Regions from separate parts of the Mus musculus genome. Here regions 1, 3 and 4 are each reported to be linked to region 2. Evidence: microRNA targets listed by miRTarBase, many of them from high-throughput screens and not tested one by one. Region 2 holds a microRNA gene; each other region holds the end of a gene's coding sequence.
What was found. Region 2 holds the annotated microRNA mmu-miR-539-3p (CAUACAAGGAUAAUUUCUUUUU, at 2,903-2,924, shown strand). A microRNA usually pairs through its seed, bases 2 to 8, with sites in the 3' UTR of a target mRNA and lowers its output. Matches are read on the target gene's strand: a 7mer-m8 pairs with bases 2 to 8, a 7mer-A1 pairs with bases 2 to 7 and ends in A, and an 8mer does both.

Region 1 (4,162 bases), not on the chromosome of region 2:
TGTGGTGGCGCACACCTTTAATCCCAGTACTCCAGAGGCAGAGGCAGGAGGATTTCTGAGTTTGAGGCCAGCCTGGTCTACAGAGTGAGTTCCAGGACAGCCAGGGCTATACAGAGAAATCCTGTCTCGGAAAAAAAAAAGAAAAAAGAAAAAAGTTAATGCCGGTGTGCGAACAGGCCAGTTTTCCAAGAAGCCTAGCTTTTGTTCAAGGATGGCCGTCATGAGGCCAGAATTGGCAGGGCCAGCAGACTGTGAGTTTCTTCCCCTGGTAAGGACGTAGAGTAAGCTGTATCCCCAGTTTCCCACCAGAACTGATACCCTGAGGCAGGAGAGTAACTTGCCTCCGTTTGCACAGCAAGTACTGCTAGCTGCTAAGTCACCTCTCCAGCCTTTTCTTTGACCTTTACGGTGTCCCCTTGTGCTGGCAGGTCCACAGATCCAGCCGTCCAATTATCTGCAAAGGCTGTCGACGAACCTTTACGAGCCACCTGTCCCAAGGACTGCGGCGCTTCGGGCTGTGTGACAGTTGCACCTGTGTCACAGACCCCCAGGAGGAAGAGGACGACCTGATGCCTGTCAACCTTAGCCTGGTGGAGGCTTCATCTGAAAGCCACGAGAAGAGTGACACAGATGACTGGCCCATCTACATAGAGTCTGGTGAGGAGAATGACCCAACCGCGGAGGATTCTGACGACAAGCCACACATTCGGCCCAACTTACCAGCCCCAGAGACACTTACGTAGCAGTGACTCGGTGGGAAGGTTTTAAGTGTTGTGGCTTGTTCTACTGTGAAAGCTACCATTTGTCGAGTTCTGTGAGACTTGGGGATCATCTCCCCACAGTGTCGTTACACTTGGATTTTTTTGTTAGACGAAGGCTGGATGTTGTGACTCAAAAAGACTGATGACGTTTTAGCATGGAGTCTTGAGAGTTTTGTTGACGTCTCCTTGGTACTGACTGAATTGAGATTGAGCCCCGAGACTTCCTAATTTTCCTGCTGAGAAGCTGACTCTGGGCCGGAGATAAATAAGAAAACCTCCCAGCTTAGCACTATGCTGGTCTTTTACGTTCTTACATCATTACAGTCTTCTGAAGAGGTGGCAAGAGTATGTTGTCAGAACCTCTGTCTCTCCCCTGCCAGGCTTCTTGAAATGAACTCCACATTTAATTTTCTGGGAATCTGCTTCGATAAAAAGCAGGCGGGGCTAACTACGTGGTCATAAAAGGTACTCCCTAAATCTAAGACTATATGCCTAAAGGCTGGAGGAAGCTTTATGCAGACAAACACTGACACAAATTGCAAGTTTATTCTGGGCCCGCTGCTTGCCCACCTAGATTGAGTTAAGTTAAATGAGCCCCCAGAGAAGAGCCAGTGAGCCAGGGCAGAGTACTGTCCCCGTCTACTCTGCTATTTGACAATTCCGTACACACAAATCCCCTATTCTCAGATTATAAAGCAAGTCGTTTGGGCAAAAATCAAAAGGCTGCTTAGTCATTTCCCAGACATGCAACCTGGATATGCACACCCTCGTGACATTCCTGGGCATGCATGTCCCGCCTGACATCCTGCCACCTAGTTTATGCCCAGACTTGAACTGCAGGGGAGACATGCATGCCTAACTAACATTCAGGTTTTAGAAGACCACCTAGAAGGAAGGAGCTGGGTAGAACAGGTTTCAAGCCGGTCTGCTTTTCACCCACTCTGCAGCCAGGTCACAACTGTAGCAAAGCAAGTCGAGTGTCTCTAAAGTATGAAAGGACAGGAAAGACCATGGATGAATGGTGCACTAGAAGGTAGCTTGCAGACTTTTCTTAAAAGCATCTGAAGTGGACTTTAAAAGAAATCCCTTGTCTTCCTTTACTTTTAACACAGTTTCAAACAGCAGTGAAATCACCAGGTCTCTCTGCCTCTTGAACAATACCTAGTGAGAATCATTTATAAACTGCCTTGTATGTATTGTCTTGTCATTAAAGAGTGGAAGCTTTTGTTGGTTTGCTTGTATTTTGAGACAGGGTTTCTCTGGGGGGGGCCTTGGTTGCTGTGGAACCTGCTTATGTAGACCAGGCTGGCCTTGAACTCCTGAAGTTCTGACTGCCTCTGCCTCCCAAGGGCTGGGATTAAAGGCATGCGCCACCTCCCCTGGCAGGACTAGGGTTACAGCTCCTTGTCTGTCATTAGGAAGTCCCTGGGTCCAATCTCTAGTACTGCAATAAACAAATACCTAAATTTGTGTTGTCTGCAAGAAAAAAAAAGCCTTTTTTTTTTTTTTAAAGGAAGAAAGACGGCATGAGGGTTGGAGAGGTGGCTCAATGGTTAAGATCATTGGCTGCTCTTCCAGAGGACCTTGGTTCAATTCCCAGCACCCACATGGCAGCTCACAATTGTCTCTAACTCCAGTTCTGGGGATCTGACACCCTCACACCAATGCACATAAAATACAATAAAATAAATTATTTTAAAATTGTCAACTTTATAAAAAAGAAAGAAAGGAAGAAAGGAAGGAAGGAAGGAAGAAAAGAAAGATCTTTTAGTTTTCATAGTAGTAGGTGTTATATCCTGGACCTTGTCCATGCTGGGCAAGTACTCTCTACTGACTTAGTCCCCACCCGTGGATGGAAAGATATTTCAGTTGTACTTTAACAATTGTACCTGAGACTCTGATGACACTTTTACATTACTGTGATGCCCGCATTCTGTTAGACTTTGTTTCCTTGAACAAGGCATGGGCCATCTGAGGTGTAGTTACCTAGACAGCCACATCATAGAAAGACTGATACCACACAGGCCTAAGTGACATATGCCTTTATTAATCCCAGCACTTGGGAGGCAGAGGCAGGCAGATCTCTGAGTTCAAGGCCAGCCTGGTCTACAAAGTGAGTTCCAGGACAGCCAGGGATATAAAAACAATAGTACCAAGGTTGAGAAATTCTAGATATAAAGTGGGGTTTTGAATGATGTTAATTTTGGGTTCTGCTTCTGAGTCCAGATGTTTCACAGTTTGCCCAATGCCTAGTGTAGGTGTTATGACATAGAAACTTAGAAATCCTACCAGGTATGGTAGGAAACAACTGGAATCCCAGCACTAGGGAAGAGGAGGGCAGAGGATCAGGAATTCAAGGTCAGTCTCAGCTACAAAGCAAGTTCAAGGCCAGGGTGGGATACTTAAGAAGTTGTATTGGCAGGGATGATGGTGCACACCTTTAACTGGAGGTCCAGCTGTGCTCAGCACTCCAGAGGCAGAAAGAAGCAGGGGGCTCTCTGTGAGTTGGAAGTCAGCCTGGTTTACATAACAAGTTCCAGGCCAGCGAGGGCCTGTCTGAAATAAATAAATAAATAAATAAATAAATAAATAAATAAATGAAGTAGAAATGAATGAATGAATGAATAAATAAATAAATAAATAAAGTAGAAATGAATGAATGAATGAATGAATGAATGAATAAATAAATAATAAAAATGAAAAGCTAGAGAGATGGTATAGGCTTAGGTTTTTCAAAACCTATTTTAATAAGGGTATTTTAATAAGGGTACTCAAACGTTTCGCCTCCCCTTCTAGCCCACCAAAGGTAGGGGAGAAAAGAAGGTGATAGGACAAGGGTATGTGTGCCTGTTTAGAACTAGTTCTTTCGGGTGATTCCAATTCCCATTGTCAGGATACCAGTCCAAAAGTGTCAGAAGTGGCACAATCCAGCAGAAACTGCCAGGCCTCTGCTGAATCGGCAGGAGTCATTGGAAGCAACCGGGACCAGCTGGGATGCCATCTTTCTCTCAATAAAGGGAAGATTAGTGAAGATGCAATGCCAAGGGAGTGTTTGTTGCATGAGTGTAGCTGTGCAAGCACTTTGTCTCCTCCATTGAGTCCTATTTATATTCTCTCCAAACATCATGTGTCCTCTCCTGGGTCTTGCCTCAGCAAAATATCACGTGAGGCTGCATCACATGACACAACCAGAAATTTCTACTTCATAATGGTGTGGTGGTTAAGAGCTCTTATTGCTCTCACAGAGGACCCAAGTTCAGTTCCCAGCATCCCAGCTGCTTGAAACTGCAGCCCTAGGAATAGCTGATGCCTCTGACCTCCGTGGTCACCTGCACTCTCAGATGTACACACTCACACCCAGGATATGAAGATCTAAGAGAAAGCTTGAAAGAAACTGACTC
Region 2 (4,162 bases):
CCCCACCCCCACCCCACCCCATGCCCATCCTCCCATGCCCCACCCTAGTCTTTTGGAAGATCACCCTGTTTTGGAGTGATACTGAGAAGTAAACTAACTTTAGGGCTGGGTACCAGTGTGCAGAGTATGCAGCCAATTCCAGAGCCAGCCAGCTGAGGCTTGCTTCACCAGCCCCTGTGCTCAGCCCAGGCTCACAGGTGCTTCACTGTTCCCTGGCCCAACTCTTGGTTCATGTAAAGAGGATAGCCTCCGGTATGTTCTCTTTATTGATGGTAATAGACTGCAAGAGGCACTTGTCCTCACATCTAACTCTATCTGGGAACTACTCCAGCCCTGTTCCATCTTTGGGTCAGGTCTCCTGATACAACGTGACTTCTGACTTTCTCGGGTATGTACCAATTCTTGGTTCTAAGATGGGACCTTTGGCTAAGCTATTAGTCTCTGGTCCTCCTTGTCCTCTTGGTGCCTGATCTTTTGCTCTTGAGGGTGGGAGAGGGTACTGTGGTGCCTGTTGCACTTGCATTGAACATAATCACCCAACAGTGGCTTGCTTGTTAAAAGACAGTGGCCCTCAGACCTGCCGTCTGTTTGTACCAAGCCATCTCCAGAGCCTTGTTGCTCACAGCATTCACCTTAGAAGATAAAGCATGATGTTAGACTATCCCAGCTTTGATACAAGTACTGGTTTATACATCTTTATTTATAATGATTTCAGGCCTGGTCCACCCCTCTCCAAGTGAGGACTTCCTGGAAGTGGTGTCTGTCTTTGGGAAGAGGCTGAAGTTTCCCATTCCGTGCGGTCTATCTGGTGTTCTTCTGTGGCTATACCTAGATCAGAAGGGGGCAGTTTTAACAGCCCGCACCTATGGAAGCAACCCATCCCGTCAAAAAAAGGTGAGTGTTTTTCCTTGCCATGATTCAGTGCAAACCTGTGGCCATTCCTGCCTGCTCTTTTCTGGGGAAGAGGTCCCAAAAAGGAAAGATGGTTCCATCATTCAGTGGCATGTGGAGTTTGACCCCTGTATGGCATCAACTTCCTTCTAGTTCTGTCCCATTCCACTATCGGGCAGAATTAGTGGGGCAGGGTCCGGTCCTGGGAGTGACACTGATACCCGTTACTGGGAAGGCAGAAAGGATTGGCTTTAATCACTTCTATAAATTCCTGGGGTCCTCCTGTCCTCTGTGTGCAGTGTACAGCCAGGTGGGCATCATAGAGAAAGTGCTAAGGATAAGATTGTAGTCCTAACCAGGGTTTACCTACAGAAAGCAAAAATCTGAGTTCTGTATTTCCTGAGAGAGTGAAAATCTCAATCTGTTGTAACATCTGCCAGTAATATCAGAAAAAGGTCCCCCCCACCCCCCAAGTATCTGTCCCAGCCCAAGCTCCTTGGATGGAGAGCTGACCAGTGGGCACACATCTGGCAGGTGGTGTTTGCCATGTAATTGGCTGATTCCGAATCTCCCATCATCCCTCCCCAGGCTAAGTCCCAGGAGACGAGGCTGACCCCGTGAATGCTAGAGCGGAACCTGCCCCATGCTATTGTTTGGTACTTAAAGCGAGGTTGCCCTTTGTATATTCGGTTTATTGACATGGAATATACAAGGGCAAGCTCTCTGTGAGTATCAAACCTTATCTTGGATCCCGTCCACACTCAGCGAGGGATGTGGTATGTGTGTGCATGACCGTGTGTATCCATCTTGTGTGTGACAAACTGCTTCCTGGGTTTCCTTTATGCACCAACGGCTTCATGGGCGCAAGATGACTTCAGGAAAGACCTCGGGTACATCCCCTCTCCTTGTCCATATGGGTTGGTCCCAAAGCATGCTCTCTGTGTGTAGCCTGGGTCCCTGCTTTCCCAGGCTGATGGTCAGGTCTGTGCTGGTGTGGGCCGTTGTTTTTTGATGTGCTGCCGTGCCGTGGTACCCAAGTGTGCATGTTCTTGCTTGGTGTGTGTGACCCAGTCTGCTAACGCTCAGCGTCTAATTCGTCCCCAGGACCCTACCTGGAAGACGTAGCACGTCTACCTGAGGCGGTGGCTTTGCTTTCCAGGCCGAGCTTTGGTACTTGGAGAGTGGTTATCCCTGTCCTCTTCGCTTCACTCATGCCGAATCGTACAGGGTCATCCACTTTTTCAGTATCAAGTGCGCAGACTCTGCAGCCTGGCTTCCTGCGCCTGGATCCTGCCACTGCCACTTCCCATCACACATCCTTGGACAAGGGTGTCGCCGTGTTATGCTCCTTGTCTCGTGTGTCACTCGCGAGTCCTCTTGGGGTCCAATGCATATGGCTCTCGGGGGCTGGGAGAGATCAGGCTCTTGTAGGGACTAGGCTCATTATTGACCATGTGCCAGCCCAAACTTTTGTCTGCTGGGAGCTGACTGCTGGCAGCTATGATGGTGATATACAAACCTCTCCTTGGATTTGGGAGCCCATGTTGAGACAGACATTCTCTGTCAGTCATGTGAGTGGGTGTTGGAGCTTAGAGTTTGTGCTGGACTTACAAGGTGGTGCTTGTGACTCGGCAGTGACATCATTTCTGTAGCAGCTTCTAGAACAGAAGACCCCATGCCGGGGGTCAGCAGGGCCACCCACAATGCTTGCTCCACTTAAGATGGACACTGCCTGGCTTCTTGACCCCAGCCACCATTACCCTTAGAAGAGGCTAACGTGAGGTTGTCATGCTGAGTCCTGGGGAGTCATTTCTATAGCCTCTCACCTCCCTGGTGCTTAGAATGGCCATCAGTAGTACTGCATGCATGGTGCATGTATGTATTGGGTGCAGCCACGTGTGAGGAGTGGTGATCACTCCCAAGAGGCCTATGGATGCTGGTATTCCTGCTGTGCTACTGTTTCATACTTGAGGAGAAATTATCCTTGGTGTGTTGGCTCTTTTGGATGAATCATACAAGGATAATTTCTTTTTGAGTATCAAATACTGCCCTGGTGGACTTCCGGGATGACGAGACGGTTGTTTAAAGAGGTGCCTGGTGCATGATGCATGGGTTAGCCTTACCTGGGCACAAGGCAAGAGAGCACAGAACTGATGTGTAAGAGCTACACTCTGATCCCAAGTCAGGATCTTGCTTGAAGAGTCCAGGGGTTCCTACGTGGCTTGGTCATGGTGAGATAGCACAGTTTTCATGACTTGGCAAATCGTTCTTTTTTTTTTTGGATGGGCAGCCAATCTCACAGATAGTCACTGGGGTCAGGCCCCGGCCCCTTGCTCAAGAGTGTGACTGGTTCCACAAGCATGTGCTTGAATGACAGAGGCCGGCGAGCTGTCTGGTCTGGATCGTGAGAGGAGGTCCTGCGGTTTTTCTCGGTGCGGTGGTTCTCTGACATTTGCAGGGTGGCTATCAATAGTGTGCTCGCCATATTTATGGAGATTAATTGGGACGACCATTGTTTGCCCCATATCTGGATTTGCTTCCGAAGGTCCTAGAGCACAGTGGTGACTTCAGCTAATGGACATTGGTACCTGCTGCAGGAGAGGGAGAATTTATTGAGGCAGAGTAACCTCAGAAGGCACCCCCCCCCCCATGTACTCTCACAGTGACAGCTTTGAGGTGGCAACAGCTTTGGTGGCTTGCTTCTTTGTGCTTGGTCTGGAGAACACTGAGAATAACTCACCTGTCTGTTGTTGCTGTTAAGTCTTAGTTCAGAGGAACTCCTTGAGAAGGTACTGGGTCAAGCATCTCTTTAGGTAGACAGAACTTGGCCAGGGTCTTCTAGGTCCAGCACCCACTCTCCTCAGCATCCATTCTGAGCATAGACTTCCTGTGGTTAATACAGGTGTTAATAAGGATACTTCCTGCCGCCGCCGCTGCCTTAAGTCACTCTCTATCTGTTCCTATGGCTTCCTTTGGGCTGACTTTTTCTTAGACATACCTGGTCAATAGCATACCATTTCAGCTCATTCCATAATCTGGTGTGTGTGTGTGTGTGTGTGTGTGTGTGTGTGTGTGTGTGTGTGTGCCTGCATGCATGCTTGTACAAATTGTTGGTTAGTGTAGGGCCTCTCAAACTGCTCAACGCTGCTAAGATATTCGTCACCTAGGGATCTTGTTAAAAAGCAGAGTCTGATTGAGGGGCCAAGATTCTGCATTTTTAGCAAGCTCTCAAGTGATGCTAATGCTGCCGGTCCGTGGACAACACATGTAG
Region 3 (4,162 bases), not on the chromosome of region 2:
ATGCTAGAATTAAGTACATGTTCAGCACACCCAGATGGCTTTGTTTTTAACTGTATTATTTTGAAATTTTTTGTTACTTTTATGTGTATGAATATTTTATTTGCATGTATGTCTGTACCACATGTGTGCAGTCTCTGTGAAGGCCAGAAGAGGGCATCAGATTCCTGGGACTGGAGTTACAGATGCTTCATGCTGCTGTGTGGCTGTTGGCAGTTGAGCCCAGGTCCTCTGGGAGAGCAGTGAGTGCTCTTAACTGCCAAGCCAGCTCTCCTGCCCTCTGCCCAGCGGTTCTTACTCTGTGTTAATGGTTAGCAATGCCTGTAAGTTAGATAATGCTCTGGAGTACAGTGAGTGAACAACCTTTCTGTTTTACTTTCAGGAATATTGCCCAAGAAGCTCATTTTTTAGTTGCAGCGAACAATGGACAGTTTCACTGCTGAAATAAATGATCCAAAGGCAAATAATGGAAAAAATAGTGAATATTAAATGCTATAAGAGAGAACTTGTAAATATTCTACAGATGTAAAATATGTAAAACTACGGGTTATTTTTATTAAATGTATTTTACAATAAATATTTGTGATTTATGATTAGAGTACAAGGATAACTGCAGTCTCTAAAATGTAATTGACAGTGCATTGGGAGAGGCTTGGCATGCGATTCCTGGTTATTCTGCAGCTCTGGGTGATCTGCCACTTTAAGATCATTAGGTATAGTATTGAAAACAGAAAACAATACTGTTAGCAGTTTTGCAAGAGCTTTAGCCTACTTACTACCCAGAGTAAGCCCTGAAAAGATGGCCCTGACGCCTCCCTGATGTCCTGTCATCTCGAACTCACTACGCTCCTCCTGCACGCACAGCCAGGACCTTGGCACTGCTCATCCCATTCCTTTGACCCTCCCCCAAGGAAGAGGCCTCGGGGAGATTTGTGTTTGTCTTCCATGGTTTTGTACTGCTATCTTCAAAGAGTTCCATCTCACCTTATGGCAGCCTATGCCTTTGATCCTAGCATGTATGGAAGTGGATCTCTAAGTTTGAGGACAGCCTGGTCTACATAGTGAGCTCCAGGCCAGCCAGAGCTACGCAGTAAGGTCCTCTCTCAAAAAGCATAAATAAACAAAATAATCCTACTATAGCTCATACTATTGCTTTCTGTTTTTTACTTAGAAACTTTCTTTCCATATTAATAGATCTAAATTGAGTTGATTTAATTACCATATGATAATATAGTACATAAATAGTGTAATTTACCTGTGCTTTGTTTATGGACTATTATTTTTTTATTGCTGTATAAATTTTATCATGAACATGGCACGAATCGCCAGGCATAGTGGTGGTTTGTCCCTGTCCAAACTCGGGAGGTAGAGGCAGTTGGATCTCTCTGAATTCAGCCTGGATTCAGAGTGAGCTCCAGAGCTACGTAGTGAGGACCAGTTTGTGTGTAAAGGTGGTAGAGTATGTCCTACCATCTATGAACACCTGGCACTGTAACACATTAAAGTAACTAAGTAGCATGGCTCAACTCCTTTACAAGTGTCAAGCAAGCCTGAAACAAGGGGACAAGGTGTTGGCCATATGAGCATTCCTGGTGACCAAGGAGGCCAGAAAATGGCATTGGATCCCCTGAAACTGGAATTTTGGATGGCTATAATCCACCACGAGGTGCTGGAAATTGAACCCAGGTCCTCTGAAAGAGCAGCCAGTGCCTAATTACTGAGTCCTCTCCCACTGCACATGAACTTTCTGTATGGAACCTTTGGGTGAGCAAAACCTCACTCCTATTCTGCATTCTCCTTGAGTCTTATGGGGATTCAAAAATTATGATTGATACAAAACTCATAGAAGAAAAACTTTACAAAATTATGTAATACCCGTTTGCATGGGGCCAGGTTTGGCTGCTCGTGCCTATAATCTCATCCTTGTCAGGCTGAGTAATGACTGCCTCAGATTTAAGGCCAGCCCAGTTACAAACAGCTCTATGCCAGTCTGTCCTCAAAGCAAGCCCCACCCATCTCAAAAAGCAAAACAAGAATAGTTTTTGGCATGGGAGCCTCACAAAGGCATAGAGAACCTGTTAAGAATCAACTACTGAGCTGGGTGAGCTAGGCAGGGGCAGAGAGGTATCTATGAGTTTGAGGATATCCTGGTCTAAAAAGTAAATTCTCAGGCAGCCAGGGATATACCATAAAACCCCGTCTCATGAATAAAGACAACTACTTGTTATATTAGGAATGACTAGTAAGTAAAGAAAAAGTGCTAAGGCAGAATGGCTTGGTCCAGAAAGTTAGCTCTAAAGGGAAACAGCTGGGGAAATAAGGATCAACAGGGTTGGTTATGCAGACTTCAGCATCGTGCTCGTCCTTGGGGCTGAATAGGCATCTTTTTCCCCACAGGGAAAAAAATTATTTTGGTTTTTGTTTGTTTGTTTGTTTTTTGAGACAGGGTTTCTCTGTGTAGCCCTGACTGTCCCGGAACTCACTCTGTAGACCAGGCTGGCCTCGAACTCGGAAATCTGCCTGCCTCTGCCTCCCAAGTGCTGGGATTAAAGGCGTGCGCCACCACGCCTGGCCCCCACAGGAAAATTTTAATCTCTCTCTTTATTAACTTTTTATGTGGATGAGTGCTTTGCCTGCTTGTCACATGTGTGCTGGTACTTCGAGTTCAGAAGGTGGCAGTCTCCTACAGTTATGTGATTGTGTTCTAGGTAAACCTGGGTCATCTGCGAGAGCTACAATGACCCATCTTTTAGCCATCATCTCATGCTTTAAGAACTGCACAGTGATTATTTTATCTTTTGTGTGTTTGATAAGCATGCATGTGTGCACTCACTCCACAGCACATGTATGTCAGTGGACAACCTTGTGTCAATTTTTTCTGCCAGTGTTTTTGGGGGAAATATGTCAAGCCACTCTGCTTGCCCATGAGTTTCCAGAGACCCTTTGACCTTACTGTAGAGCCCCGGGAGTGCAGATACATGCTCCTCTTTATACTCACTGGTTTTGGGGTGTCTTTGGCAGAGTAGTGTATCTTTTTTTTTCTTTTGGGGGAGGAAAGGGTTTATTCGGCTTACACTTCCATACTGCTGTTCATCACCAAGGAAGTCAGGACTGGAACTCAAGCAGGTCAGGAAGCAGGAGCTAATGCAGAGGCCATGGAAGGATGTTCCTTACTGGCTTGCTTCCCCTGGAGTAGTGTATCTTTAACTTCTGAGCGGCTCAGTTGTTGCTCTGTTGCTATGATACAGTTCTCTGACAAAAGCGCCTTAAAGGAGAAAGGCCTCATTTTGCCTTAGGATTTCCCTTGAAATTCAGTCCACCATGGTGGAGGAGGCTGGTTGGTCGCACGGTCCTTGTACTCAGATACAGAGAATGAACAGGAGTAGGGTGGAGCTAGACAGCCTTAAAGCCTACCCCAGTGACCCAGACAGAGTGACACTTAAGCCTGCGGGGAACAGTTCACATTCAAACCACAACAGAGGTTTTAGGCAGAATCTGCTACCAAGCTCACACAGTGTTTGTAGTTTTGGACAGGGCTGTACTGGAACTCACTATGGTCTTGAACTCAGAGCTCACCTCCCTCACCTCTCAAGTGATGAGACTAAAGGTGTGCACCACCAAATGGCCTTCTTATAGTTCTTAGAAATTGTTTGGTGCTGGGATCAAGCCTAGGGCTGTGCACATAACTGATGCACACTGAGCCACAGCCTGAGTCCCAGCTCTTAGTCCTAATAGAGTGCCCTGTTGCCCAGGCTTTTGGTGCTGTTACCTCTAGGCTTAACTTTTTTCTTTCTTTCCTACATGCCTAAGCAGGTTATCTCAGGCTAGCCTTGAACTTATCCTCCTAAGGACCCCATTTAGGATGATGGGCATGCTCCATCACGCTAATGCTTGTTCTTCGTTGTTGTTTGTTTTAGTCTTTTTAAGACAGGGTTTCTCTGTGTAGCTTTGGCTATCCTAGAACTTACTCTGTAGATGAGGCTAGCCTCAAACTCAGAGATCTGAGTGCTGGGATTAAAGGCGAATGCCACCACCGGCTGGCTTAACTCTTGGGTTTTTAACATAGCTCACATTTCTTTTACTGTGTGCTCACTTTCCACAAATTAGCAATAAGTATGATTTTCAAGTCTGATTTTTCTCATGGGCCACTGTTTTAAAATGCCTT
Region 4 (4,146 bases), not on the chromosome of region 2:
GAAGTGAGCGAGAGGAGAGCGACCTAGGGAGGGGTGGTGACTGACATAAGAGCTCTGGAGCAGGGGCTGCCTGTGACTCTAGCCGGAGCAGCCCTTCCTTCCTCAGCTGTGCAGTTTTGTCATCCAGTTCTTGCCCCACACCCCCATGCCTTGGCCCTGGCCAGCAGATGCCAGCCATCCATCCCCCTGTGCCCTGCGCAGCTCATGTCTCCTGGGATAGCTCCATTGAAGCCCGCAAGGTGGCCATGTGGCCCCTCAATGAGTCCCTATCATAGAATCAGATACTCTGGCCTTTGTCGTCCCTGCTGTCCGGTTGTCTGTCTCCTTCTCTTGCTCACACCCCACTGCAGTGACAAGAGGCACTTGGGCTTGTTTTAAACACTTTATTTATAAAAAAGTACATTTTTTTTCTCAGTACATTTTCAACCCATCTTTTTTTTTTAATACAAGTAAAAGGGGGCGGGGCAACCACTCCCCCCCTCCAGGTCAGGACCAGGGGAATCTGCTGGGCTGTCCCCAGGACCAAAGAGGAAAACAGTGACATAGAAACTGAAGCAAAGGAAGCTTAGTCACACTCAGGCGAGGGTGGCAGCTTCTCCTGGATTTTGTTTCCATTTGTTAAAAAAAAAAAAAGTCACCCTCTTCCCCCCAGCCCACTCTTCACAGCTGGGGTCAGAAAGCAGCATCAGCGAGGCTGGTTCCTCACCTCTCGGTGTCTCCGGCCCAGGTCAGCTGGAGCCACCTGCCCTCACCAGGAGAGGGTTTCAGTTGGCAGTTAGGCTTGGGGAAGTCTCTACCTGGACTCCTCCAGAGGCCTGGGAGCACCCCCCTCCTCCCAGGAAAGGATGCAGTGTCTGCTGGGCTCAGAGGGGTGGCCTCACCCACCTGACGTGAGTCCTGATTCTCCCACCTGGACGATGGCAGGAAGGTTATTGCACCAGTGACTGGGGCACGCTGGGGTGGCTGGCAGAGGGTGCGCCTTCCCAGGGCTTGGGGCCCGAGCATTAATTAATACAGGTTTCTCGTTTATGTGTGTACTTGTGCACACACACACACACACACCTGTGCTTGGTCTGTGGAAGGCGTGTGTTGGTGTGCTGGGCGTGTGTTCACTAATTGTGTGTTGCTGTATTTCAGGTCCTTCTGGTAAAAGAGACTCAGAGGGTTGTTGCACACCAGAACAATACCAAAATCTGTAGGGAAACAGGGGTCCAGGGGCAGGGGAGGGACAGGAGGGGGAGGGCAGCTAGGGACGACATCCGGAGGGGTCTGGGCAGGTAACACACCAAGTTTACTCTCCGCAGTCTGGCAGAAGCTCAGCTGTGCTGGGGGGGGGGGGCATGAAGGTGAAGCAAAATGCCCTCCGCTCTGTCACACTGTCAGCTGGCTGTGTCCACTGTCCCGCAAACACAGGGCAAGAAAAGCCCCTTCTCCTTGGGTCCAGCTACCGACCCCTGACTCCTGTCCTTTCTTAGCCCAGGTGGCGGCCGCCTGGAAGCGCTCAGTGCCACGGCTGGGGATCCTAGATCCTGCTGCATGGACCCTATAAATTGTGCTTTGCTTCGGGGAAAGGCGTGCAGGTTTGTACAGGGAGCTTAGGTGCTTTGTCCAGGCCCAGGGCCTCCTCGATCCATCACAAGACAGGGGATAGGGGATGACCGTGAAAGGTGCGAGAGACTCGGGAGGGTGAGTCTTTCAGTCTTATGGCCCCATAGGGACAGAAATACCACTCTGGGGCAGTCAGGGTTCTGCCTCCTGCCTTGGGGGTGGGGGAGGGGGACCAAGGAGAGGGGCAGAGTGGTATGAGGAACAGGATGAGCTGTGACATGGAAAGGACACTAATACTTCTGGGAGAAGCAGCCCAGCTCCTCCATCTTCCTTCTCCCTGTGGCTAGAAAGGCCCCAGAATTTTCTTCCCCAAACTTCACCCCATCCAGTGTCCCCAATGCCAAGACGGAGAGCCGCCCCAGGGCTGGCATGGCTTCAGACTTCTGCTACGTGGCTACTGGGCGGCCTGGGCTGGGACTAGGGCAGTGAGGGCCTGGCAGAAGAGCCCCAGCTGGTGGGCTGAGTAAGGGGTGCCAGAGATGGCGCTTGGACTGGGAACTCAATAGCAGCACCAGGGAGGAGTGGGGTGTGGGCTGGGGCTCCCTTAGGAAGCCTATGGCAGGGTGGGTCAGTGCCCGTAGGGCACAGAATGGTCTGCCTCCCTCTCCCCAATGTTTGTGATCCCTCAGCGAGTGTCACTTAGGGCTGAGTTGGCTGAGATCCTGACAGGCAGGCCCTGGGAATGCCCATTTAGAATGAGGGTAATCTGGGGGCACAGATGGAGAAACCGAGGCACTTTGAGCTTGGGGACAGAGGGCTGGGGTGAGGTGGGGTGGGGAGACCTTTTTCCATGCACTCAAGGGAAGGCCCAGCCCCGAACGGCTGACAAAGCCAGAATCCCATTCAAAGAGGGAGACTGCATGCAAAGGCCCTTCTACACGGCCATCTTGCCAGTCTGGCACCAGGAGAGAGTGAGCAGGGGTCAGTCTGTGGATACGCAGCAGGTCCCCGGTGCCCCTGCACTTTCTTTGAGACCCGAGACACATCTAGGCCAGCCTTCCCATATGAGACGCTAGCAGTCCCCCTTCAATTGTGTTTGCAGTTTCCACAAAGCAGCCTTCTCCGTCTCAATAATTCTGTGCCTCGCATTCCTTCCTGGGATCCCAGCCCTGACTTTCCAGAAGAGTCAAGTGTTGCTAGCACTTGACAGATAAGGAGAAATCCGAGAAACATGTACATTGTCAGGAAAGGTTGGAGCTACACTGAAATTGTAGAGTGGCTTTGGGGGTGGGTGGGTGGGTGCGGGAGGTTCATCCTAGCTGACTCTGAATGCTTCTGTGGGCTGATCCCTTCCTGAGCTGGGAACGGGTAAGAGGTGGAGCAGAGGGTTGGGCCTCGGGCAGTGTTCAGCCTGGGCAGGGCGTGAGAGGTTGGCATAGGCCCAGGGATGTGTGCATGGATATGTGTGCATATGTTGGCAGAGGCATATAGGAACTGTGGGTAGAATCCACCTGGGGTCACCCACTGTGTACAGAACGGACTGGGCGTTAACAGAGAGGGGTATATGAGAGCTACGCCAACTCCATTTGGGGGGCCAGAAAGAAAAAAAAAAAGAAAACATAAAACCACCCTCACCAGGAAAACACACTGCCCAGGACCCCAGCAGAACCCTCAGCTCCATTATTCCCCACACAAGACTCCCCTGGGTACCACGGAGAACTCCTCTAAAACCTCTTAGGTGCACTGACTGCATCAGCTTAGTGGGGGCTTGGGTTACATCTTTCTGAGAAGAGGAGCAGCATATCGGGTGGGGGTGAGGGTGCTCTCCATCTCGAAGCTCCCTTTGCCCTCCATTCCCAACGGAGAGAACACAAACAAATTCCAGTGTTGGGGGATGGGGGTGGGGGGGTGGGAGAGGACTGGCTCCCCAAACCCTGGAGGGATGCCCAAGTACACAAGACAAGAACAGGGCTCCCTACACACAGGGCAGTGGAAGGGGTCCTTAAAGGAAAGGTACAGCAACACCAAAGCCACGGTCGAACACAACACCAGGGGGAAGGGTGGGTGAGGGAGGAAATTAAAAAAAAAAAAACAAAAAACAAACAAAAAACAAAAAAACGAAGCCAAGTGGGGTCTGCCCTGAGCTCCTCTGGCTCCTCAGGAGTTTGGGGCTGGTTTAGGGCAGTGGGCTGTGGGGGTGGGCAGGGGGGCGTGCGGGTAGGGGCCTGGGAGAAGTGGGCACAGACAGAGGCTCCAGAAGGCGGGGCTACACATACCACTCTTTCTTGGAAATGAAAGACCCGTCGTTCTGAGAAACCATGTTCTCAGCCAAGTCCAGCTGTTCAGGGTCATACTGGTAGCCCAGAGTCCGGTCCCCATAGCCGTCCTGACGGGCCTCAGCCTCATCCACAGTGAAGTAGGGCCGTTTGGCGTCCTCGTCATATTTGGGGTGGGGGCCGCCCACCTTACGTTCGCCTCCTCCACCGCCCTCCTCCTCCTCTTCCTCCTCATAGCTGCTCCCGCCCAATGGGCCGGCCTTCTTTTCATCATCCGAGTCATCCGGGTACTGCAGGTTCTGTGCCATGGGCGGGTGATGCT

Region 1: miRTarBase lists Zbtb8b as a target of mmu-miR-539-3p. Seed matches in the 3' UTR shown: 7mer-m8 at 1,948-1,954 and 7mer-m8 at 1,997-2,003.
Region 3: miRTarBase lists Cdk7 as a target of mmu-miR-539-3p. The part of its 3' UTR that is shown has no 7-base or 8-base seed match.
Region 4: miRTarBase lists Nectin1 as a target of mmu-miR-539-3p. Seed matches in the 3' UTR shown: 7mer-m8 at 444-450.

The regions. Positions count from the first base shown.
Region 1 is chr4:129,424,094-129,428,255 of GRCm38, reverse strand. It overlaps Zbtb8b (zinc finger and BTB domain containing 8b), which reads left to right. Exons shown (of 4, transcript NM_153541.3): 4 at 429-2,491. The coding sequence ends at 743. Among named protein-coding and RNA genes, the nearest start is that of Zbtb8b, 15 kb to the left of the region's middle.
Region 2 is chr12:109,725,274-109,729,435 of GRCm38, forward strand. It overlaps Mir539 (microRNA 539), which reads left to right and starts at 2,856; the gene lies at 2,856-2,929. Mir381 (microRNA 381) reads left to right here and starts at 1,549; the gene lies at 1,549-1,623. It overlaps Mir487b (microRNA 487b), which reads left to right and starts at 2,060; the gene lies at 2,060-2,141. It overlaps Mir544 (microRNA 544), which reads left to right and starts at 4,052; the gene lies at 4,052-4,129.
Region 3 is chr13:100,699,724-100,703,885 of GRCm38, reverse strand. Cdk7 (cyclin-dependent kinase 7) reads left to right here. Exons shown (of 12, transcript NM_009874.3): 12 at 380-4,162. The coding sequence ends at 408. Among named protein-coding and RNA genes, the nearest start is that of Cdk7, 29 kb to the left of the region's middle.
Region 4 is chr9:43,803,685-43,807,830 of GRCm38, reverse strand. It overlaps Nectin1 (nectin cell adhesion molecule 1), which reads right to left. Exons shown (of 6, transcript NM_021424.3): 6 at 370-4,146. The coding sequence ends at 3,815. Among named protein-coding and RNA genes, the nearest start is that of Gm46108, 15 kb to the right of the region's middle.